Linked DNA regions of Nothobranchius furzeri. The protein of the gene in region 1 purifies or fractionates together with the protein of each later gene. This does not show direct contact. Links are inferred from orthologs where the notes say so. Each region holds a gene or a part of one and is shown on either strand. Other genes may lie near its edges. The genes, in order: tctn2, tectonic-3 and tmem231.

Region 1 (7,598 bases):
TAAAATATGTCCTCACCGATCTGCTCTAGGACACTCTGCATCCTCTCTTGAGCGTCCTCGTCCTTTTTGCTCTTTGCTCTTCTGATTTGTGCCAAGCAGCCATCTCTGATTCGAACCAGAAACTTTCGTACGCTGGCCTGAACGCCCTGGCGAAACAACGAGGACTCACAGTTTAGGTTCTGAGGAATGAACCCCCTCAGTATCACCAGCTCCTCTTTGCTTGGAGCGTCTTTGGTCTTTGAGCTGCAGCAGAGCAGACTGAGAGCGGCAAGGCGTATTTTATCGTCTGCGGACCTCAGAGCGACCTGCAGGGTTTCCATGGTGGAACCGCCCTGAAGAGACCACGGAGAAGAGCCGGTGACAGCTCGGTAGCAGCTCAGGATGCAGGTCCAAGCGCGGAGGTGGCGGTGTGTTTGAGGGTCCAGCGAGGCCAGCAGGAGGTCCACTGCAGAGGGGAAAACCTGGAAGGTGGCGGGCAGTAGGTGTGATGAGCTGCTGCTCTGTAGGAGAGTCACATCTGACCTCAGAGCCTCAAGAACAAAAGGCTGCCAACGCTTCGCCCAGCGCTTAGCCAGATCCACCTCAGTGGGACAGGAGGAGTTCTGTGATCCTCCACAAAGTTCTCTCCTCTGCTGCTGGATCAGACATTTATACAGCTCTGATCCACACGGGGACAGGTGATTGGTTGACAAACACTTCAGAAGGTGATCAAACAACTCGGGGTATTGGTCCAGCACCTGATGGTGACATGAACTAGAATTAAGGTCACGAATTATAATCAAAACATGAATGAGGACTTAGTAACTCAAAACCTCACCGTGTCAGTGCCCAGGTACGGCAGCAGGGCACCGAGGCGGTGATACAGAGCTCTGGTCTCCCAAGGCAGCTTCATGGTTCGCTGAAGCAGGGTGAAGAAAAAAGTCGTGTTTGCATCAGAAAACTTCTCACAGTCCTGGTTAAAGAGGCTCAGCAACTGGAGGAAAGCACTGTTGACAAATTCAGGCACTCCGTCTATCTGCCGAGGCACAGAGACAAAGGTGATCATCAGTCAGTGATGCGATTGTTTCTATGATTAATGATTTAATTCTGCATCCTCGACACGAGACAGCATCTGCGTTAGTTATTTCCAAAGGCTCACGGGGCTTTCTGCATTGGTCCAGATGATGTGCTGGAGCTGCTGCAGCAGGAGACTGTTCTCGGGTAAAAGACGAACACCCGTCATCCTCCAGAGATCATCGACACTTTCTTTCACCCTCTTCAGCCACAGAGTTAAAGCTGCAACAGCAGGTCATGGATGAACGGGCGATTCTCACTGAATCGGTCAGCTGACTGAATGGAACGTCGCTCACCTTCAAAGGCAAAGCAGTGGCAATCCAGCTTCTCTTCGCACAGCGAGTAGACGAGGGGAAACAAACCGTCCAGCAGCAAGCACGTCTAGTGGAAACAGATCGATTTGATAATAAAACCTAGAGTAAGTCAGAGAGGTTTCCTACATCTGTGAATGCACCTGTGAGTCATCCTGGGAGCCGCGTAGGATGTGAGGTCGGCAGCAGGTCAGGAGGCCCCTGCACACAGCCAGCCGGTCCACTCCATCCTGAGCAGAGGGGTCACACCGGACCTTCAGAGCGCCAACCATCAGCTGCCAGGGCTCTGAGGAGAAACGCACAGTCAGCAAACACAATCTGATGCAGCAAATATTAAATCAATCGCATGATTTACGAGTTTTAACAGTCACTACTTGATCTGCTGTGTTTGTTGCACCAGCTGTGACTTACTTTGGTGAGAGACCTGCAACAGACCCCAGGCAGCTTCTCCTCCAGCTCTGCTCTCGGATGCCGTGTTAATCAGCATCGCCACAGCAGTCCCAGCTAAAAGACGGGCATCCCTGTTGGAGCACTGCAAGACAAAACGTACACCAAGCAGCTGTAACAACACAGGTTGTCATCCAAATGAACGACTCCAAAGTCAGAGTAAAAAAAAGAAGAACCTGTCCAAGTATAATGTCCATGAGAGCCTGCAGGATCATCTGCACCGCCGGGTCTCTGCTGTCCTGCTCCCAAACATGAGGAGCAAGTTCCCTGGACAGCAGCTGGAATATCTGCAGACACACCTGCAGCAGGTGCAGTTCACAGGTTAGTAACAACCGTTACACAAATCATTCATGATGCATGATTTAAACATTTACCTTCACAGCGACGTAACACAGCGGTCCATCTCTCAGGGACTTGTCCTGCAGGACAACAGGAAGCAGCTCAGACACTTTGATCAGCATGGACTTGTATGAATCTCGCCACACTTCACGACCAACAGAGCTGTCTTCCAGGAACATGCATGCTGGAAGGGGTAAAAAAAAATAAAATTACATTTCAGTGACTTCAAAGTAAAATACCTCAATTTTAACCAACCTCTCTGCAAATCTTCTAAAGACAAAACCTAAAAAATGCACATGATCAAAGTTATTCCACAAATCTAAACACAAATAAATTAATAACAAACAACAATGATTTTAGATACCTCTACCTGATTTCTGTAGACTATTGAGTGAAAACTGTGAAGGGTTTCTCTGTAAACCAGCTGGTGGTCCACCTTTGTCAGATGCAGCAACATCTGTCAGACAGATATGAACATTTTTATCAATCAGATTTAGTAGAAACTGTTGCACCATGAAGAGGGACCGTGTTGCTGACCTGGTCCACTTTGCGACAGGCCGTGGAGATGCTGGCCATCTCCAGCTGCAGGGATATGAGGAGTCTGGCAAGGAGCAGCAGATGTTTCTCCTCCAAACTACGAAGCTGAGCTACAGATGTTTGTCTCAGCAGCTGGACAGCCTCCTCTAAACAGCGCTCCTTACATCTTTTTACCTTACTCCTGTACGTACAAGAATCACAATCAGGTTTATTAGCATTAGACAAAAGCAAGTGATTATTTACGAGTTTGTAAAATTAAGCAAACAAGCAGAGATGTGGAACTAACCTGGAAGATTCAGAGAGTTTTTCAAAAAACGAATTAAGTGTTTTACTTCCGGGATCGGGAGCGGAATCCTGGATGATCAAACTGTTTTTCAGACTTGTCAACAGGTTTTCAAACATCGTTGTATTAATTAATCCTTAGTGAAGATCGTTGTTGACACATTCTCAAGAGCACGTTGGTTAGCTGGTCACGTGACCTAATTTTACTTCTACTGAAGTTGTGTCGTGTTGTGAAAGTGACGTGCTGCCCCCTACTGGCTGAAAAGGAAATCATCCACATCTTTAACAACATGGTTAGTAAATAAATGTTCATTCAAGAGTTCGCAAACGTTCAGCACTTACGATTTATGAAGCTAATGTCTGTCCTGAAGCTGCTTTTTTGTCCCCATACTCCCCCTGCTGCGTCTGTTTTCCTGGCGAGGCGCTGCCAAACTCGAAAACAAAAACCCACGAAGCGCCTGTTTGCTGCGTAACGTTTCACACTTCCACATATGACCAGGTGGGGGCGGTGTTGCTAACACAACCTTTACCTCATCCAAGCAAGAACGCTTGTCTGTGATTGGTTAAGATCCGCGTTGCTAAGACATCACAAATAGTTTACTAATATGTCGACTCTATAATGGCTAATGTGGCTAACGCTATCCTTTCTGTGAACATTTCACGTCATGCTCTATCCATCGTGCTACTTATTTACTTGGCTAACTCCCAAGACATTGTTGGTAAGACGCGTTTAATAATTATCTACTAGTAACCCACGAATCTTACTTGAACTAGCTAGCATTTCTTGATGCTAGCAATGGAGCTAACAGTTTCGCGTTATTTTTTTGAAATAACTGTTAATGCATTCCTTTTGATATTTTTGAGAACAAACGCTAACATAAAATAGTTTTGTTTTTCTTTCATTAGTTTTCCAGCCGACATTTCTCGTTGCTTCTGGACCAACCGTCACATCGTATCTGCTGGGGAACACCTCAGGAGTCTCCCTGACGCTGAGGAAGGTTTCTCTGTCCAACACGACAGGTGGAGAGATTAATCAAAACTAAACACATACCTTCTCTGTACTGATCCTCAGCCTTTGTGCTGAATCAAAAAGTCTAGGCTGATTGGTGTTTATGTTTCAAATTTGATCAGATTTGGTGGGGAGTAAATATTTTTTGTCCTCCACAGGGAGTATTGGTTCTCCATCATGTGTAGAAGAGGCAACACGATGGACGCTGGCAACAGAGCAGATTGGAAAGGTAAGAAACTGATCTGAGTCTGATCAAAATGATCAGATAACGCTTCAATCAAGTGCAAGAGCAAATGACATAATCCACTAAGTCTATGCTTTTTGTTTTGCTTTGCACCACAGACTGCATTACGACTAACTTTGAGATTCAATCAAAGTCTACGTTTGTGTACGGAGAATGATACAACTGGTGACTGTTGTTCAAAGCCACTGTGTGTCCTGGAAACCCTTCAGGTGTCTGCCTGTGTTGGCAGCACACCCCAGGCATCACTGCTGATCCAGGCCTCCTTATATGCCCAGTTGTTCCCTACTAATGCTGGATCTGGTAACTCAAATCAAATTGGTTTCACGATATTGCAACGTGATGACTTCTGAGAGTGGGCTATGTCTTTTATTTATGGGTCATGTTTATTTCAGATAACCAGACAGTCATTCCAAACCAAGTGTACCAACCTCTAGGTGTTTGTCCCTGTGATCTGACACACAGAGTGTGTGATGTACGCTGCTGTTGTGACGAGGTAATGCTATCTGTGTTCTTGTAGTTTAAAAACAGATTTTGGCTGAATGTACTTTATGTTTTATTAATCTAAACACAATATGCTTCATCATTACCAGGACTGTTCCAGTGCAGATTTGAAGCTGGTTGCATCTCATTGTCTGCCTGGACCGTTTGGTGGGCAGGTCTCTCCTGCTCCAGAATATCAGTGCTCAGTTCAGTCCTCTGAAAACACCCCAGACTGGTTTCCCTTTTTATGTGTCCATTCTCCACCTGAAAACAGCCCATACCTCGGCCTCTTTTACCAAGGAAACACAGTGTAAGAAAGGACGTGTGTCTTTGATTATACCTGTTATTATTTTCATGTCTTGTTTTCATCATGTATTTTTTTGTCCTTTAAACTTTTTAGCTCATCTATCCCTGGCCCATCCTTCCAAAGGCCCATGTTAAAAGCTCCGGTGCCAGTTTATGTTCAAGGAAGTCCGATTGTCACTCTAAATGGCCAATTCTTCACAATCCCTCAGGTGGGTAAAAATGTTTTTATTACATTGTTTAAATTCAGATACTAACAGCTCAATTTAACAGCTGAGCTCTTGTGCATGTTTTTGTTCCACAGATGCTCTTTGGTCAGTGTCTGAAAATGGCTCCCGTGGCTTTTCTAAAGGATTTCAGTGTTGAGTGTGTATCTCTTCTCCTCTCCTGTCCCACTGGAGCTCCCTTACAAACACAGCTGACAGATCTGAGCACAGAAGTTAAAAATGGCAACGGGGGTGTGTTTCACCTGCTATGGAGGATAGCTGTTGGGAAATGTTTGGATCCAAGTGACATACTATTGTTTTTCCCCAGGAGTTGTGGTGGTGAACGTAACTGATGTCGTGATCCCTGACGTGAGTGTGTTCGTTTCTGAAAGCAGTGTCGTTAACGCCATATGTATGTATGTCTTCAGCACAGATTATTGGCACTGAAACAACCCTTGACAGTTACATTTATGATAAAATATTCTCACATTTATCCAAAGCTGAGAGGCTGGAATGCCCAAATGTGACCGTAGCCCTGGATTACAAATTCTTCTGGACAGGAAATGGCATCACGGGTATCACACTGACACGCACGGTTGGGACTATCACCTCCAATCAGAGCGGTGACTTGTAACTTTGAACACTTCCTGTTATAGTTAGCAAACCTGTGCCACATGGTGTTGACTGACTTCTGTCTTCTAAACAGTGATGCTAACTGCAAGATATTCTGCTGCGTTTCTGAACAGAGAATTCAGGCCTGAGTCCAACTCTGGAAACCCAGGTAGGAGGAAGGAAATAATAATTTTATAAGCCTCAAACAAGTTTATTGAGAATATGAAAGAATCCTATCCCATGTGATCATTCTAACTCATCTAAACAACAGGTTATCAAGTGGGAAAACCTGTTATTGCTGGTGTTGTGGAAAACGGTACAGAAGTAATACAGAGGAGAATAATGAATATTTGGAAATCAGGTAAAATCAGTTGTCATTTAGTTTATTTGTAGATAAAATCTATTTTGATACTCAGACACTTTTCAGTCCTTTCTAAATTAACAACTAACATGTTTTCTCCTGATTTGGCCTTTAGTGCATGATGGACTGTGTTCTACTGCTCAGAAAAAAATGGTTATTTTTGGTGAAAATTCAACTTCCGGTTGCCTGCTTCCTGTCAGCCGACATGATCTGACTCAGTGTAATCTCCTCAGGTCAGTGACTTGCTAGGATTCATCTTCAGTATGTACTGTGAAAGCTGCACTGTCTGTTTTTGTATTTGAGCATCAGATGTAATGTTTTTTGTGCTTTAGAGAGAAGGTCACTAATCTACAGGAAACGCTGATAGCTGCCACTTATGTGGCAAAACGTGGAAACCCAGATTTTACCAGTTTGATGGACTGGGTGAACATAAGCTGTAAGTTGACGGTGCGAAGAAGCATTGATTTTATTTCTTGCTAATATTTGTGACACATTTCCTACTCCGTCTGAAACTAAACGATGTTTTTCACATCATTTAATCTAGACGCGACTCTGAATTCAAGTGCAGCTATGGGGAAAGTCACAAGTGCATGTGATGGTGTTCCATCCCACCAACACATCCAGGTCTGGACTCTTATCACCGGCCAGATAGGTGGCATACCTCAAAGGGAAATCCATGCACTGGAAGTCAAGTGTGTATCACATCATTTCGCAACACAAATTTCACAGTGCAAGTCCAATTAGGACCACAAAGTGGTTTTGAGTTGAGGTATTGTTTCCATTTCTGGTCATTTTCAGTTATAGCCGGACCACTTGGACACTGGAATGTGGAGGAGGTGACATTTCTTCCTGCCAGGACCCAGACACACCTCAGTTGTTCTCCATCACATCTTCAGTTACATTTATTGACATCCCAGTTAACACAGGTCCACCCAAAAGCAGGTGCTGGAACGTTTGGACCACTCTTAGGAAGAACTGTGAAGCCTGAGCTACTAACATAGAGTGTGATTTTATTTTTCTCTGCAGATTTCAGATCAACTTCACAGAATATGACTGTAACAGGAATGATGTGTGTTGGCCCGAGCTTGCTTTTCCCTTCACTAGATATTTCACAGGTAAGAACGTATCCGTGGCATTTAAAATGTTAAGTTGGATGATGTGAATCAATTATTTATGAATCTGGGTGATTAAAAAAAATGATTTATTTTTAGCATTTGTGTTAAATAAATCATTCCCAGAGTGAATTAAGAATAGTAATGATATAATAATGCTTATTTGACCTTTTCTTCCTACAGGTGAGCCTTATTCTCAGTCGCTGGCTAAAGGCATGGTCTTGGTAGGAATGTTTATTGCAGCCTCGATCCTTGGGACTCCATGGAGACAGATCAGACAGGCATGGCACAATGCTGCTCTC
Region 2 (7,599 bases), on another chromosome or scaffold:
ACCGAGAGCTTTGCCTTGTGGCTCAGGTCTCTCTTCACTATTGGGCCATTCCCATCTGTACCGGGTCGGCCCGGGCCGAGTAGCCCCAGTCGGCCCCAGCCTGGCCCGGTTGATTCCACACATCCTTGTCTTAAGCCCATGTGGGCTGATTCTACCCACCAATCAGAGGCTTGCTCTAATGGAAGGTGTGAATGGGCTGATTCTACCCACCAATCAGAGGCTTGCTCTAATGGAAGGTGTGAATTTGCTGTCAGCAGTGGGTGTGTCGGCCCTGGTCGGCCTGAAGCAGTACCCCTCGGGAAGAGGGCCGAGAATGAGCCTTGGTTGGCCCGGGAAAATACCAGGCCACCCAGATATGTAAACAACCTACGCTACCCGGCCCGGGCCGACCCGGTACAGGTGGGAATGGGGCTTTAGACAAACCGGTACAACGCTCACATCACTGCAGACGCAGCACCAATCCGCCTGTCGATCTCGCGCTCTATCTTCATTTGAGACAGGACCTCATCCCTGACCTGGAGAAGGCCTTCTACCCCTTTACTGGCTCAAGACCATGGTCACAGATTTAGAGACGCTGATTCTCGTCCTAGCTGCTTCACACTCAGCTGCGATCAACTCCAGCGAAAGTCAGGGATCACGTTCTGATGAAGCCAACAGGACCACATCATCTGCAAAAACGCAGAGACCTGATCATTAGGCCACTAAAACGGATCCCCTCAACACCTTGGCTGCACCTAGAAATCCTGTCCGTAAAGGTTATGAACATGTGACAAAGGCAGCCTTGGCAAAGTTAAACTATCACACTGGAGGCAGCTCCAATAGTAAGCGTTTATATTTAGGGACCTCTGGTTATGAGTAGACGACTCAAGGGCTCTTGCTGAACGCTTAAACAGGGCAGTATCAGGCCTTTTAATGATTTACAAAGAAAAAGTTAGTCATTTAAAATCAACCCAAAATGCAACAGGAGGCCAGTGAAGAGAGGTATGTTCAAACTTCCTCGTGTGCATCAGAAGGCCAGCAGCAGCGTTCTGGACTGCCTGAAGGTGTGACACAGACGACTTGCCAACTCCAGAATTCAGTCAGAGCATTACAATGGTCAAGACTGGAGCATGAATCACTATCTGAAGGTCGCTATGGGAGAAACTGGCTTGACTGTTCAGTAATCTTAGATAGAAAAAACTGGATTTCCCCACCATGTTTGTCTGTCTGAATTCTGGTTGCTATCAAACACAAATCCTGGATTTTTACTGATTACTTTTAATGTGGAACCAAGGCTCTGATTTAAGGAGGTCGGGACATTAAGGTCACCAGACAGCACACATTCAGTCTGGCTTTCACTGAGATGTAGGGAATTCTGTGCTATCCAACCCAGAAAATCATTCAAATGGTCAAACAGAGGCTGCAATGACAATCCTTTCAGTGCTCTCAGGGGTAAGAAGGTAACTCAAGAGGTTGAGCGGGCTGTCCAGTAATCGGAAGGTTGCAGGTTCGATCCCGGCTCCAGACAGAGAATTCCTTGGGGAAGACACATAACCCACCTTACCTGCTGGTGGTGGTCGGAGGGACTGGTGATGCCTGCGCTCGGAAGCCTCAGTGCGCCCCAGGGCAGCTGTGGCTACATCATAGCTCATTATCACTATCCGTGTGTGTGTGTGTGTGTGTGTGAATGGATGAATGATGGCTTCATTCATGCATTTTCCTGTCTCAGCTGCAAATTTTGCCTTTTACTTTGAAAGTGCCATAAAGTCTTAATGGAAACTAATCTCGTCATCAGGCCCTGCTCCTCTTCCTGAAGCTAGTCTCTAGTCTGAAACCTGTCTCTCCAGGTCAGCACAGGATTATGGCTTATGCGACTGGTGTCATTTGACAGACTTGGTAGTCCAGTGGTTAGAGTGCCAGGTTGGACACCTTAACCACTGGATCACCATAAACAACACAGCAACCGATCCGCCTAAGACGCTGTTCTAGGCACATTTTGTCAGAGTGGGCATGGGCAAAGTTTCACTGAAACAGGTGTAAATTCAAGCTGACGAAAATAACCCGTATTTAAGATAAATTACATCTCAATAATGCTAACGGAAATATTTGATCACATATTGTGCCTACCTTTGCTCTCAAAGGTTTAAAATAGCATGATATGGAAGCGACTAGTTCCCCTAAATTTGACAAGAAAATCTCATGCTCAGTGCTGTCTAGATTTAAACCCAGATTGAAAATATTCCTCAATAACTAAAGCTGAATAAAGACAATTCTTTCTGATACTTTTAACAAGAACGGCCATTTAGACACGGGTTTGAAGTTAGACAGCACTGCTGGGTCCAGGTTGGGATTTCTGTTTAAAAGACGTTCCAAAGGGGAAAAAAGTATAAACCTGCCCTTATTTTTGATGTTTTTACAATCTATTAACTCAAACAAAGATGATAAAATCCTGTTAACTCCAGACAAACTCCCTTTTAAAGAGGAACCATTCGGTATAGCCTTTCTGAACTTACTTGCAGGGTTGCGGTTGAAGCAGAAAGCAGAAGCTGCTCCAGCAGAAGGTTGACGAAGGAGACCACGGACAGAGGAGTTGGAGAAAAACGTCTGGATAACATCATCGGCCTAAAACAAAATGTCAAATATCTGTGATTAAATATAAAAACCAGGTTGTTTTGTTTGAACACATCCTGCCCATACGCCTGTTTACCCTGTAGAAGTGCCTGCTGTGCCTGATGAACATGTGTCCTGATGGTGAGAAGTGGTACGAGTCTCCTAAAGCTGGACTCTCATGGAGGGAAGGGAGAGACTGAGGAGCAGCAGCTGATGGGCGGTAAACAAAAAAATAAGAACAGATATGAGTGTCTGATGAATTATACAAAACATTAAAAAAACATCTTTTTACCTTTGGAACGCACACAAAACATGGTGTCAGTGACGGTGACAAGAGATGAATCAACGTTGGCTCTGAACATGAGCCACTTCTCAACGCAGACTTCAGATCTGCTAAAGAAAAGTTATTTTACACCTTAAATTATACTTTTGTCTGTGACACAGGAGGGGAGAGTATAAGGACGGCCTACATAACTGCTGGTGAACATCCAGTGAAGATGGCTGTTAGGTTGGCAGCATCACAATCAGCTGTGTCACAACAGCAGCCAATGTCACAAAAATCAGGCGTTAAATCGCAGAGACAACCTGAAAGACAAGAGGGAACACTGTAATCATACAACAGATAAAGAATTCATATAAATGATAAAAACGCGCAAACATATAATACAAGACCCAAATCAACCCCCCCTTCTGTGATTTAAATCTACGAGCAGACAATTTTTATAAGATGCAGAGGAGGTAAACTCTCTTATGGACATAATGAAATGCATTTAATTCATCTCCTAAAAACGTTTGCAAAACAATCTAAAAGTTGATCAAACCAAGTGAGAGATTATCCAGATTACATGTGGGTTACATGTGGGTGAACAAGAATGACCCAAGTTGAAGAGTGAGGTTAGAGGACTCAGTGCTAAGTGGAGAATGTTGAAGCTGGAGAAAAATGTCAGCTGTGATAAGAGTTTCTGCAGGAGACCAGAGATGCTGCGTGGTTTAGAGACAGCAGCATCAAGGAGAAGACAGGAGGCAGACGTGGAGGCAGCGCAGATGAAAATGCTGAGATCATTGAGATGATTTTATTACATAACACTCATTTGTCCTCTGGATCAAGTGTGTATAATGGCATTGTTAAAAGTTTTAAGAGTGAGGTCCGGATGACTAAATTGGTTTTAGAAACTTTGCAGGTTCATTAAAACAAGGTTAAAGGTCTTGCCTTCTCCAGATATCACGGTCTGGACGGTGGTTGTAGGTGATGGAGCCTCAGTTATGGAGGGATTAGTAGTTACCATGGAGTCCCGTGGAGCTGTTACCAGGGAGTCCTGTGTATTGGTTACCATGGAGTCCCGTGGAGCTGTTACCAGGGAGTCCTGTGTATTGGTTACCATGGAGTCCGGTGTAGTAGTTATCATGGAGTCCAAAGCGGGCGGACGGGTTGCCTGCTCAGTGACTCCCGAACCCCCCGGAGCCGATGTGGCTGAGCTGAAGGGCCCCCCTATTGTCGGAGGGGTGTCCACAGCCCCAGCGGTCCCCTGGTCTGCAGCTGCGCGAGCCCCAACTCCTCCATAGGAAGCGATGTAAACATGGAGCCAAAACAAACACCAGAAACGCGTCATTTCTCCAACTTGGCGGTGCTACGAACACCTATCCACACATTCAAAAATACTCAAAATATCTGACTTTCCAGAGGTAGCGTTTGGCTAAATGCTCAATCATAGCAACCTCCTTGTAACTAAGGAAGTTGTCAACAAGACTTCCGGTTGGAACGACAGATCTACCGTAAAACACGTAAAAGATAAGGAATATTTGTGAATCAGAGTCGGTCTGAAAATTTGTGAAAATAATAAAAACTTCTGAAAGCAGGTTTGAATTTTAAAAAAAGCACATATTCTATAGTTTTATGGTTCAGACCCATGTTCTGACCGGACACTCAAGGACTTGATTTAATGAGGAATGTTTGCACATTATGTCCTTGTGTGTTACTGTTTCCCCGAGCGGCAGCAGTCACATGCCGTTACAGGATGTACTCTTGTATTGTTTACACAAGCGCTGCTTCACCTCTTCCTTCCAGATTACCTGAACTACCTGCCCTGGCATGCAAAGGCAGAGAAAAACACAGACTGTATGAAATTGCCCCAGGAAGAGTCTAATTCTAATAGGTCACAAGTTTATGTAAGTAGTGTGTGTGTGTGTGTGTGTGTGTGTGTGTGTGTGTGTGTGTGTGTGTGTGTGTGTGTGTGTGTGTGTGTGTGTGTGTGTGTGTGTGTGTGTGTGTGTGTGTGGATCCTAACAAACTGAATAATAGCCAATAAAATCCAAGTACAAAGAAATAACATGAAAAAATAATGAGCAGGTGTCCTCAATTTGTTCAAGGGCTGGAGTTTTTTTCCTGCAGACACCGTGAGAGCCAGATGCCCTTCTAAAATTAAGTTAACCTTGCAGGCTCAAAATAAGTTAAGTCCTTCAGGGGTACTTCTGAGTTAAAAAATGCTCATTAAATACGTATCTACCTGGTAGGTAGATTTCAACTGTTGCAAATCTGCAATGCCTGCCTCCAGAGGGTTAAAGTATTATTGATTCTTAATGCATTAATATTTAAAATGTCTTTTTAACTCCATCATTCAGTCATCTAAACTGTTTTGATAGTAGTTTTAGTTGTGTTTTTCAATGAGAATGAGAAATGAGTTTAGTGAGAAATTAAAATCAATAGTACAATCAAAATAGTACAACAAAAAACATTTACAGGTTTACAAGCAAACACACAACTTACACAATTCAAAGAATGGGTGCAGGCAGAAGCATAAGCTGATAAGCCCAACCCCCAAACCCACTTAAGCAAAATTTTAGAATAGCATACCGATTCCATAATTTATACATCATTATCGAAATTTATTGAAATATATTCAAATCCCCATTCTTGCTTTATAAAAAATAATGACCTTTAATATTTTATAAATTTTTTTCATTGACTTGATTCACAATATTTAATCACGTCGTCGTCATCATCGTCTTCCTCCGCTTATCTGGGTCCGGGTCGCGGGGGCAGCATCCCAACTAAGGAGCTCCAGACCGTCCTCTCCCCGGCCTTCTCCACCAGCGCCTCCGGTAGGACCCCATGGTGTTCCCGGACCAGATTGGAGATTTAACCTCTCCAACGTGTCCTGGGTTTACCCGGGGGGCTCCTGCCGGCAGGACATGCCGAAACACCTCCCCAGGGAGGCGTCCAGGAGGCATTCTGACCAGATGCCCTAACCACCTCAACTGACTCCTCTCCATCCGGAGGAGCAGCAGTTCTACTCCGAGTCCCTCCCGAATGTCCAAGCTCCTCACCCTATCTCTAAGGCTGAGCCCAGCCACTCTACGGAGGAAACTCATTTCGGCCGCTTGCATCCGCGATCTTGTTCTTTCGGTCATTACCCAAAGCTCATGACCATAGGTGAGGATTGGGACGTAGATCGACTGGTAAATCGAGAGCCTGGCTTTCTGGCTCAGCTCGCTCTTCACCACGACTGATCGGCTCAGCGTTCGCATCACTGCAGACGCCGAACCAATCCGCCTGTTGATCTCCCGATCCCTCCTACCCTCACTTCTGAACAAGACCCCAAGATACTTAAACTCCTCCACCTGAGGTAGGACCTCTCTCCCGACCCGGAGTTGGCAAGCCACCCTTTTTCCGGCCGAGAACCATGGTCTCAGACTTGGAGGTGCTGATCCTCATCCCAGCCGCTTCACACTCGGCCGCGAACCTACCCAGCAAGAGCTGAAGGTCAGAGCTGGATGAAGCTAGGAGGACCACATCATCCGCAAAAAGCAGAGACGAGATTCTCCTGCCACCAAACTCGACACACTCCACCCCACGGCTGCGCCTAGAAATTCTGTCCATAAAGGTAATGAACAGAACCGGTGACAAAAGGCAGCCCTGGTGGAGTCCAACCCTCACCGGGAACAGGTCCGACTTACTACCGGCTATGCGGACCAAACTCACGCTCCTCTGGTAAAGGGGCTGAATGGCCCTTAACAGAAAGCCACCCACCCCATACTCCTGGAGTGTCTCCCACAGGGTGCCCCTGGGGACATGGTCATAAGCCTTCTCCAAATCCACAAAACACATGTGGATTGGTTGGGCAAACTCCCATGCCCCCTCCATCACCCTTGCAAGGGTATAGAGCTGGTCCACAGTTCCACGGCCAGGACGAAAACCACATTGCTCCTTCTCAATCTGAGATTCAACTATCGATCGGACCCTCCTCTCCAGTACCTTGGAGTAGACCTTTCCAGGGAGGCTGAGGAGTGTGATCCCCCTATAGTTGGAACACACCCTCAGCTCACCCTTCTTAAAGATGGGGACCACCACCCCGGTCTGCCACACCACAGGGACTGCCCCCGATGACCACCCAATGTTGCAGAGACGTGTCAACCACGACAGCCCAACAACATCCATAGCCTTGAGATACCCAGGACGAATCTCATCTGCCCCCGGTGCTCCGCCGCTGTGTAGTTGTTTGACTACCTCAGCAACTTCTGCCCCCGAGATTGGACAGTCCATCCCCAGGTTTCCTGGCTCTGGCTCCTCCTCGGAATGCGCGTAGGTGGGATTGGGGAGCTCCTCAAAGTATTCCTTCCACCATCCAACTGCGAGTTGCTGCCTCCCTCTCCTGAGGCGCCGGACAGTTTGCCAGAACCTCTTTGGAGCCGATCGATAGTCTTTCTCCATGGCCTCATCAAACTCCTCCCACGGCCGAAATTTTGCCTCGGCAACTGCCACTGCTGCACCCCGCTTGGCTATGCGGTACCTGTCTGCTGCCTCCGGAGACCCACAGACCAGCCACGCCCTGTAGGCCTCCTTCTTCAGCCTGACGGCTCCCCAAACCTCTGGTGTCCACCAGCGGGTATGGGGGTTGCTACCACGACTGGCACCGACCACCTTGCGACCACAGCTAGAAACAGCCGCCTCAACAATTGCAGAGTGGAACAAGGCCCACTCGGAGTCAATGTCCCCCACTGCTCTCGGGACGC
Region 3 (7,490 bases), on another chromosome or scaffold:
GTCTCCACTGATGAACAGTTTAACTCCAGGTACAGGTGAGGAGTGCTGCACATAAGCCAGACTCTGCATCACCACTGTCGACATCCGCTAGCAGAAACCAGAGAAATAGAAATGCTCTGACTATTAAATTAAACAACAATAATTTAAAGGGACTTTTCGGACTTTTGAATTTTAATGCCTGCGATTGCCCCCTCAGGCCAAAAGCATAACAGCAGCTTCAGTAGTAGGCTCGTACACGAGGCGTGCACGCTGTACGTGCACACTCCTTAACGAAAATAACAGCTGAGACAGTCCCGTGTGTGTGTGTGTAGGTGTGTGTGTGTGGCCCGGAGGACAAAAGAACACACAGATAATTAATTAAATAATTTGGTTCTGTACCTTTCTCTTCAGCACAGCCGACAAAGGTTTATGACGGGTCAGTCCTCCTGCATGCTCAGATCATTCCCTTCCCTTGCTTGAAAAATTGTTCCAAAATGAAAGTTGAACCCACATCTTTTTTATCTGTGAATTCAATGCCGTTCAGCGAGTCTCAAATAAAAATTTGGGCATCTTACTGTAAAAAATATACCATTAATGTAAAAAATAAACTCTAAATAAACTATGTTCACATCCAGAATCAAACCCAGGTCTTCTGCACGAGAGTCAGATATCTTACAAGGTGAGCTACACTCTAGTAACATTCAGACTGTCTAACATTTATATCCTTGATGACAGCTGAAACAACGTTCAAAGAACGGTTCGGAGTGAAAATGGCTATTTTGTTGCTAATTAGCAGGAAATATCTAGAAGAAAGTTCTACAGAAAGTAGCTAAGGGTCCTCAGAAATGTAGCTAGCTTTGTCACTAGGCGTTAGGAACAGCGACAAAGTGGCACTGCCTCTCTCTCTGCTGCTAAAGCTACGGATAGCAAACGCTACGGGCGATGCCTGAGCGTGAACGCGCATGAAGCAGCCTGCTCGACCCGAGCATCTCTCTTTTTCTGTGATTTTACATAAAAACAGGCAATCACAGTAAAAATGCCAGGGCTCATTCTACAGGACCAGGGCATTGCAGGAGAATGTATGAAGAAGACATTTATTATTTCTATACATGTTTTGGCTGTCACACTTCCATAATGTCCCTTTAATGCAAAGACGAAGTGGCTGAAATATTTCTTCAAAGCACGTTGGACACAAATAAAAATCCTCTTCCTCTGCATGGAAAGAGCTCTTTGTGAGACGGCTACTGGAGTGGGATACATACAAAGAGCTGGTAGCTGAAGGTGAGCAGCAGCTGAATGCTGTAAACTTGTTCATCAGGTTTCAGCGGAAGCTGCAGTTGCAGGTTCAAACGGTCCAGTTTCCCATCCTGGTTCAGGTCCTCCTCTCTCACCTTTATGAAAACAAAACACAATTTTCATTTACAAAACAAAAATACATAATTACAAAAGACAATCTTGCAGAGGCACAAGAGACTCGTGGAAATGAATGATCCTCCTTTAGAGTAAAAATGTGTTTTAGCTTTTTCTGGTTTCTTTATGTTTTCACTTTCACAAATATTAAGCACCTATTAAGTCTTTTATGTGAATTTTCTGTGTTCTGACTCACTGCTGGCTGGCTGAGCACCAGCATGTTTTTTACTTCAACAGTATTCATCCTGCTCTGGTTGGCAGTCAGTCTCAGCCTTTTAGGTGTAAAATATGAAATCAAAGCTGCAGAGATTTTACCAGTGATTCAGAAATAACTTAAGGGAGAGGAACGTTGAGTTTTCTTACAGAGATAGTGGGGATACGTAGGTTGGTCCCAAGCATGTTGTTAAGGAAAGGGAAAGTGCTCCAGGCAACATAATGTCCTTGAGCACTGGTTGCTGCTAACAGCAAAGTCTCGTACTGGAACCTCACAACCGGCTGTTCTTCGTAAATGCTTCGTTTTATCCAGAAACCTGAAATGAGAAGAAACTAAAGCAGTGAACTCTATCTGCTCAGAGCGTCAGATACAGTTCCACTCAACTCCTTTCTCCACCTCATCTTCTCGTGAACGTCCACTAAGCTAATTCACACGGGCAATAACAGCTCTTCCATGAAAATGTCTTTGACATCCAAAATAATCATTTTCAACATGGTCAAATATTTTAAACGTTGTTTTTTTTAGGTAAATGACAATTGGAAACAGTCAGTGGTGTGTTAAAAAAAGAAACAAAGCTGTCATTTAGACTAGATGCTGTAAAACAATGTGTGAAAGCACTGTTATCAGGTAAGTTACTCTTTTATTTTTATTGCTGCTATAAAACTTTATCATCTCAGCAACTGAAGGTTTTGTAAAGAAGCTCTCGAGTTGTTGTCGAGATTATAAATCTCACAAGCTAAGGTGATCTGCGGAGTAAACCATGTGTTTTTGTTTCCATATTAAGTTTGTGAACAGGAACGTTTCCTGTAAAATCTGGTGGATTAACACAAGTGAGATTTCCAGACATTGACAAGAACTTGACGTTGCCATGTTGCTTTATTGGTCGTGCTAAAATCACAAGTTATGGAGCACATTTTCAAATCTTAATGCAAAAAATTCTTAATTTTAAGAGAAATTTGTGTATGTTTTCAATAAGTGAACTAGTTTATTGGCAGTGTCTAAATATCACATGAGCCAAAATGGATGCTGATTGGTAAATATTAGATGAGTTTTCCAGATTTATTAGTTTTGTTTTGCAACAGGGTTAAGAGTGGGAATCTGTAGAAAGCTACTTGGAGAATTAAATACCTTCAGGGTAAAAAAAAAACTGCAAATTACCTACTGAGAGGTATGTGTAAAATGAGAATGAGACTTAGCTGCACAAGCAGGTTTCTGGCTCAAAGATGATCAACTAAAGTTCTGCAGCCTTTGTTGCTGAACATAACTGCTTTTCAGAGTTTCTCCATATGATTTAGCAAAAGTTGGGGTTGTCTAAAGTATAAGATATTCAGCACCTGCTGGTCAGATCTGTACAAGAACTGAAAACCTGTATCAATCTCAAAAACCAGAATGGATGCCTCTCTAATATTGGACCAGCAGCTCAAGAGGCACAGCGGGTTGTCCAGTAATCGGAAGGCCAAGTGCAGCTGTGGATACAATGTAGCTCATCAGCGTGTGAATGTGTGTGAATGGATGAATGAAACACTGTAGTGTAAAGAGCTTTGGAGTCCTCCGACTCTGAAAGGTGCTGTACACGTGAGGTTCGTTTATCATTATTTAAAAGAAATAATTTCAAACACAAAACTGAGGCTTTTTATTGCAGGTTTCTGCAATATTCTCCAAGTTAATTACGAAACTTTCACTCATCAATCACAATAAATGCATATTTTATTTGTATTTTTTTTCAGTCACATCACAGTATAAAAGCATGAAAAGTTGGTCTGTAAATATCCCTGTTATTTTATTCTATCATTATGTGAATTTAATCTGGGATTGGTTTTTCTGCAGTCACTTGATGGTCAGATTAAATATCTTTGTGATGGTAACAAATACAAAAAGGGCAAAATTATAATAAGATAATAAAAAACATTCAGTAAACCTTCCTTCAATAAACTTTACAAGACTTGTTCCCTCCATAAACCCGAGGTTTTGGTGAACCTAAGCATTTGTTATTACTTCTTGTCTCTGTAACTGAGGATTTACACATCGTAGGACATTTGAGGAGACACGATGAACAGTTAATAAAAGCTTTCTGGTGACCGTTACTGTACCTTGACTCCTGTATGCAACCAGCAGCGGTGGGATGTACGTAAGGCATAAAACAACAACCAGAAATAAGGTAGCTGTTGTACAAACACTGGTTTTGTACCGAACCACGGCCGGGTGAGAGTAGACTTCATAAAAAGCCATGAGTACCCGCTAGCTAAACGCTAACCGCTAACGCGGATGCTAACTCGGGTCTAATAAGAGAAAAAGCTCACAAACATATTTAACTCATATAAAGCAATGTCCATCTAGTTGAATGTGGAGTCAAGCAGCCCCATAAAGACATATTCATCACGAAATTTGGCGTTTAACATGCTATTTTTGTTAGCCTCTGTGATTATCGGTGCGGGATCCCACGCCATGTTAGCTAGGCGTCTGGCGGTTACCATGGCAGCCAACGACCAGACTGCGTTCACGCAACGTTTGAGAGTACGGGAACCTTTTTTCCAGATGTGGAAATGTTGCTATTTTATGAGGCGTCTGCTACTCTTTTTAATTTTGATGAACATAGTGTAGAGAAACTATTTACACAGACTGTCTTGGGGGCATTTTTTAGAGATTATGGAAATCATTTATTAGGTATTTTTCTTATGATGTTACTCATTCTGACTGTATGTGTTATTCTGTTCTTTAGAAAATAACAGAAATACAAACAAGCGCCTTTACCATTATGTTTTATGTGTGTGAGGACTCAGTCACGGATAGACCGACTCTCCCGGAGAGCCCGTGAAGGCAGCACTCTGTCAGACGTTGACGTCACCTCTCCGCTAGACGCACAGCTGAAAGGCTAATTTGACGTTGTTTTGATTGCGTTTGTCTGGATATTTGGACAATTCGCCGACATTACCCGCAGATTTAGAAGCTTCTACGCGTCACGCCTCAGTGCGGGGATCCAGCAAAGATGAAATGGATGTTTAAAGAGGACCATTCCCTCGGTAAAAGGGTTTGGATTGTTATGAAACAAGAGATGCTCTTGTCGTGTCATCCCACCTTATTCTGTTTTACTGTCCCCGCATCGTTTAGCAATGCCACCGCTCATAGACGCAGTAATGCATGCTTTTATTTTTTGCCATTTGCACGACTGCTGTAATTCGATTTCGCTGCATGAAACCATTTTCCCTTTTTGGTCGCTTTATCGTTGCCCTAAAAGCAAAATCAGCTGAATCTGCTCTGATTCCTGTCTTTACACTGTGTGTTTACACCTTTTGATAATGTTTGACCTAAACACCTAATGTCAGAACAAATCCAGCAAGAATAAATTCTTATATTTTTTTAATTGGCTAAGAGACCTAATGAAAATACAATTTGAACATGTAAGTCAGGATTGTTTCAAACGCATTAACAGTAACTGAACTCACATCTCATTGGAGCCATTTCTGTTATGTAACTCAGCTTTTGTGTGGAAACTCTCACCGGATAACCTTTTTAAAGAAACACATCCAAAGTAGGCCTCTTATCTGGGTTAATGAAAGCCTGCACCTTATCAACTATCACCTCTCCTCCCCTCCCCGGGCCTCATTTTCTGCATTGCTGCATGTCCTGCCTAAAATCAATGCACACAATGGCATCAATCATGATTACAATCACTGTGAAAGGCAGCTAGTGCCTTAATTTGATCACAAATTGTTGTTAGAGTTGATAATCCATTTTATGCGTGCTGCATCTTGTGTGAAAAGTGTCTGCTGTGCACAGGGAGCTCTCTGTGTTGAACAAGGCTTGGCTTTAAGATGGCAGAGGAAGAATCCCAAGAGGCCTCACTCATCCTTTTAATCTCTACTTCCTGTTTGTTTTCTGTCCCTCCCTCAGAGCACCGATGTGTGGAGTCAGCCAAAATACGCAACAAATACCCTGACAGAGTACCGGTGAGTCCAGGGGGTGGGGTGCACTGGCATGACAGTAAATCAACAGATTAAGCTGTCTGAATGTAACCTGCAGGGACGCAGAGCTGAAGTCAGGAGATTTAGTTTTGTTGTTGTTTTAAACTGATCTCCAGCTGAGGAAAGAAATAAACAAACAGATTTTTAACAAATCAAATCTATTTCATTCTCATGATTTAAAGAGCAAGTCACCCCCCAAATCAACTTTTTTTCTTTCTGATAAACTATATAAATGTGTGTCTAATCGTGCTGCAGACACGTGTCATCAATAGTTTTGCACTTAAGTGCATTTTAGTCGTCCTCGTCTTCCTCCGCTTATCCAGGTCCGGGTCGCGGGGGCAGCATCCCAACTAGGGAGCTCCAGACCGTCCTCTCCCTGGCCATCTCCACCAGCTCCTCCGGCAGGACCCCAAGGCATTCCCTGACCAGATTGGAGATGTAACCTCTCCAACGTGTCCTGGGTCGACCCGGGGGCCTCCTGCCAGCAGGACATGCCCGAAACACCTCCCTGGGGAGGCGTCCAGGAGGCATCCTGACCAGATGCCCAAACCACCTCAACTGGCTCCTTTCGATCCAGAGGAGCAGCGGTTCTACTCCGAGTCCCTCCCGAATGTCCGAGCTCCTCACCCTATCTCTAAGGCTGAGCCCGGCCACCCTACGGAGGAAACTCATTTCGGCCGCTTGTATCCGCGATCTCGTTCTTTCGGTCATTACCCAAAGCTCATGACCATAGGTGAGGATTGGGACGTAGATCGACCGGTAAATCGAGAGCCTGGCTTTCTGGCTCAGCTCCTTCTTCACCACGACAGATCGGCTCAGCGTCCGCATCACTGCAGACGCCGAACCAATCCGCCTGTCAATCTTCCGATCCCTCCTACCCTCACTCGTGAACAAGACCCCGAGATACTTAAACTCCTCCACTTGAGGTAGGACCTCTCCCCCGACCCGGAGTTGGCAAGCCACCCTTTTCCGGTCGAGAACCATGGTCTCAAATTTGGAGGTGCTGATCCTCATCCCAGCCGCTTCACACTCGGCCGCGAACCTACCCAGCAAGAGCTGAAGGTCAGAGCTGGATGAAGCTAGGAGGACCACATCATCCGCAAAAAGCAGAGACGAGATTCTCCCGCCACCAAACTCAACACACTCCATACCACGGCTTTGCCTAGAAATTCTGTCCATAAAGGTATTGAACAGAACCGGTGACAAAGGGCAGCCCTGGCGGAGCCCAACCCTCACTGGGAACAGGTCCGACTTACTACCGGCTATGCGGACCAAACTCACGCTCCTCTGGTAAAGGGACTGAATGGCCCTTAACAGAAAGCCACCCACCCCATACTCCTGGAGCGTCCCCCACAGGGTGCCCCTGGGGACATGGTCATAAGCCTTCTCCAAATCCACAAAACCCATGTGGATTGGTTGGGCAAACTCCCATGCCCCCTCCATCACCCTTGCAAGGGTATAGAGCTGGTCCACAGTTCCACGGCCAGGACGAAAACCACACTGCTCCTCCTCAATCTGATTCAACTATCGATCGGACCCTCCTCTCCAGTACCTTGGAGTAGACCTTTCCAGGGAGGCTGAGGAGTGTGATCCCCCTATAGTTGGAACACACCCTCAGGTCACCCTTCTTAAAGATGGGGACCACCACCCCGGTCTGCCACTCCCTAGGAACTGCCCCCGATGACCATGCAATGTTGCAGAGACGTGTCAACCATGACAGCCCTACAACATCCATAGCCTTGAGATACCCAGGACGAACCTCATCCGCCCCCGGGGCTCCGCCGCTGTGCAGTTGTTTGACTACCTCAGCAACTTCTGCCCCCGAGATTGGACAGTCCATCCCCAGGTCTCCCGGCTCTGGTTCCTCCTCGGAATGTGCATAGGTGGGATTGAGGAGCTCCTCAAAGTATTCCTTCCACCGTCCG

What was found.
Region 2: the proteins of tctn2 (region 1) and tectonic-3 purify together in Homo sapiens (affinity purification with mass spectrometry; 3 studies listed by BioGRID and IntAct, with this or other methods). This does not show direct contact. The link is inferred for Nothobranchius furzeri from reciprocal best matches to the Homo sapiens genes TCTN2 and TCTN3.
Region 3: the proteins of tctn2 (region 1) and tmem231 purify together in Homo sapiens (affinity purification with mass spectrometry; 3 studies listed by BioGRID and IntAct, counting the BioPlex papers as one, with this or other methods). This does not show direct contact. The link is inferred for Nothobranchius furzeri from reciprocal best matches to the Homo sapiens genes TCTN2 and TMEM231.

What each region holds. Positions count from the first base shown.
Region 1 is NC_091757.1:45,963,591-45,971,188, forward strand, and holds the start of tctn2 (tectonic-2), read left to right. Parts: upstream 1-3,520; 5' UTR 3,521-3,588; coding exon 3,589-3,688; intron 3,689-3,875; coding exon 3,876-3,989; intron 3,990-4,136; coding exon 4,137-4,207; intron 4,208-4,320; coding exon 4,321-4,522; intron 4,523-4,614; coding exon 4,615-4,715; intron 4,716-4,812; coding exon 4,813-5,012; intron 5,013-5,102; coding exon 5,103-5,217; intron 5,218-5,309; coding exon 5,310-5,463; intron 5,464-5,539; coding exon 5,540-5,623; intron 5,624-5,711; coding exon 5,712-5,834; intron 5,835-5,917; coding exon 5,918-5,992; intron 5,993-6,094; coding exon 6,095-6,184; intron 6,185-6,299; coding exon 6,300-6,417; intron 6,418-6,516; coding exon 6,517-6,620; intron 6,621-6,728; coding exon 6,729-6,876; intron 6,877-6,982; coding exon 6,983-7,126; intron 7,127-7,210; coding exon 7,211-7,299; intron 7,300-7,479; coding exon 7,480-7,598. Other genes in the region: si:ch211-225b11.4 (tRNA (32-2'-O)-methyltransferase regulator THADA), read right to left, coding at 17-737, 818-1,015, 1,139-1,275, 1,350-1,434, 1,508-1,650, 1,776-1,896, 1,988-2,110, 2,186-2,334 and 4 more.
Region 2 is NC_091756.1:34,785,285-34,792,883, forward strand, and holds the start of tectonic-3, read right to left. Parts: upstream 4,327-7,599; 5' UTR 4,200-4,326; coding exon 3,800-4,199; intron 3,175-3,799; coding exon 3,060-3,174; intron 2,983-3,059; coding exon 2,882-2,982; intron 2,800-2,881; coding exon 2,687-2,799; intron 2,602-2,686; coding exon 2,493-2,601; intron 1-2,492.
Region 3 is NC_091744.1:86,198,703-86,206,192, reverse strand, and holds the start of tmem231 (transmembrane protein 231), read right to left. Parts: upstream 4,066-7,490; 5' UTR 3,833-4,065; coding exon 3,694-3,832; intron 1,920-3,693; coding exon 1,753-1,919; intron 1,371-1,752; coding exon 1,242-1,370; intron 88-1,241; coding exon 1-87. Other genes in the region: gabarapl2 (gamma-aminobutyric acid receptor-associated protein-like 2), read left to right, coding at 4,590-4,623, 5,495-5,550. UniProt on the Homo sapiens protein: Transmembrane component of the tectonic-like complex, a complex localized at the transition zone of primary cilia and acting as a barrier that prevents diffusion of transmembrane proteins between the cilia and plasma membranes.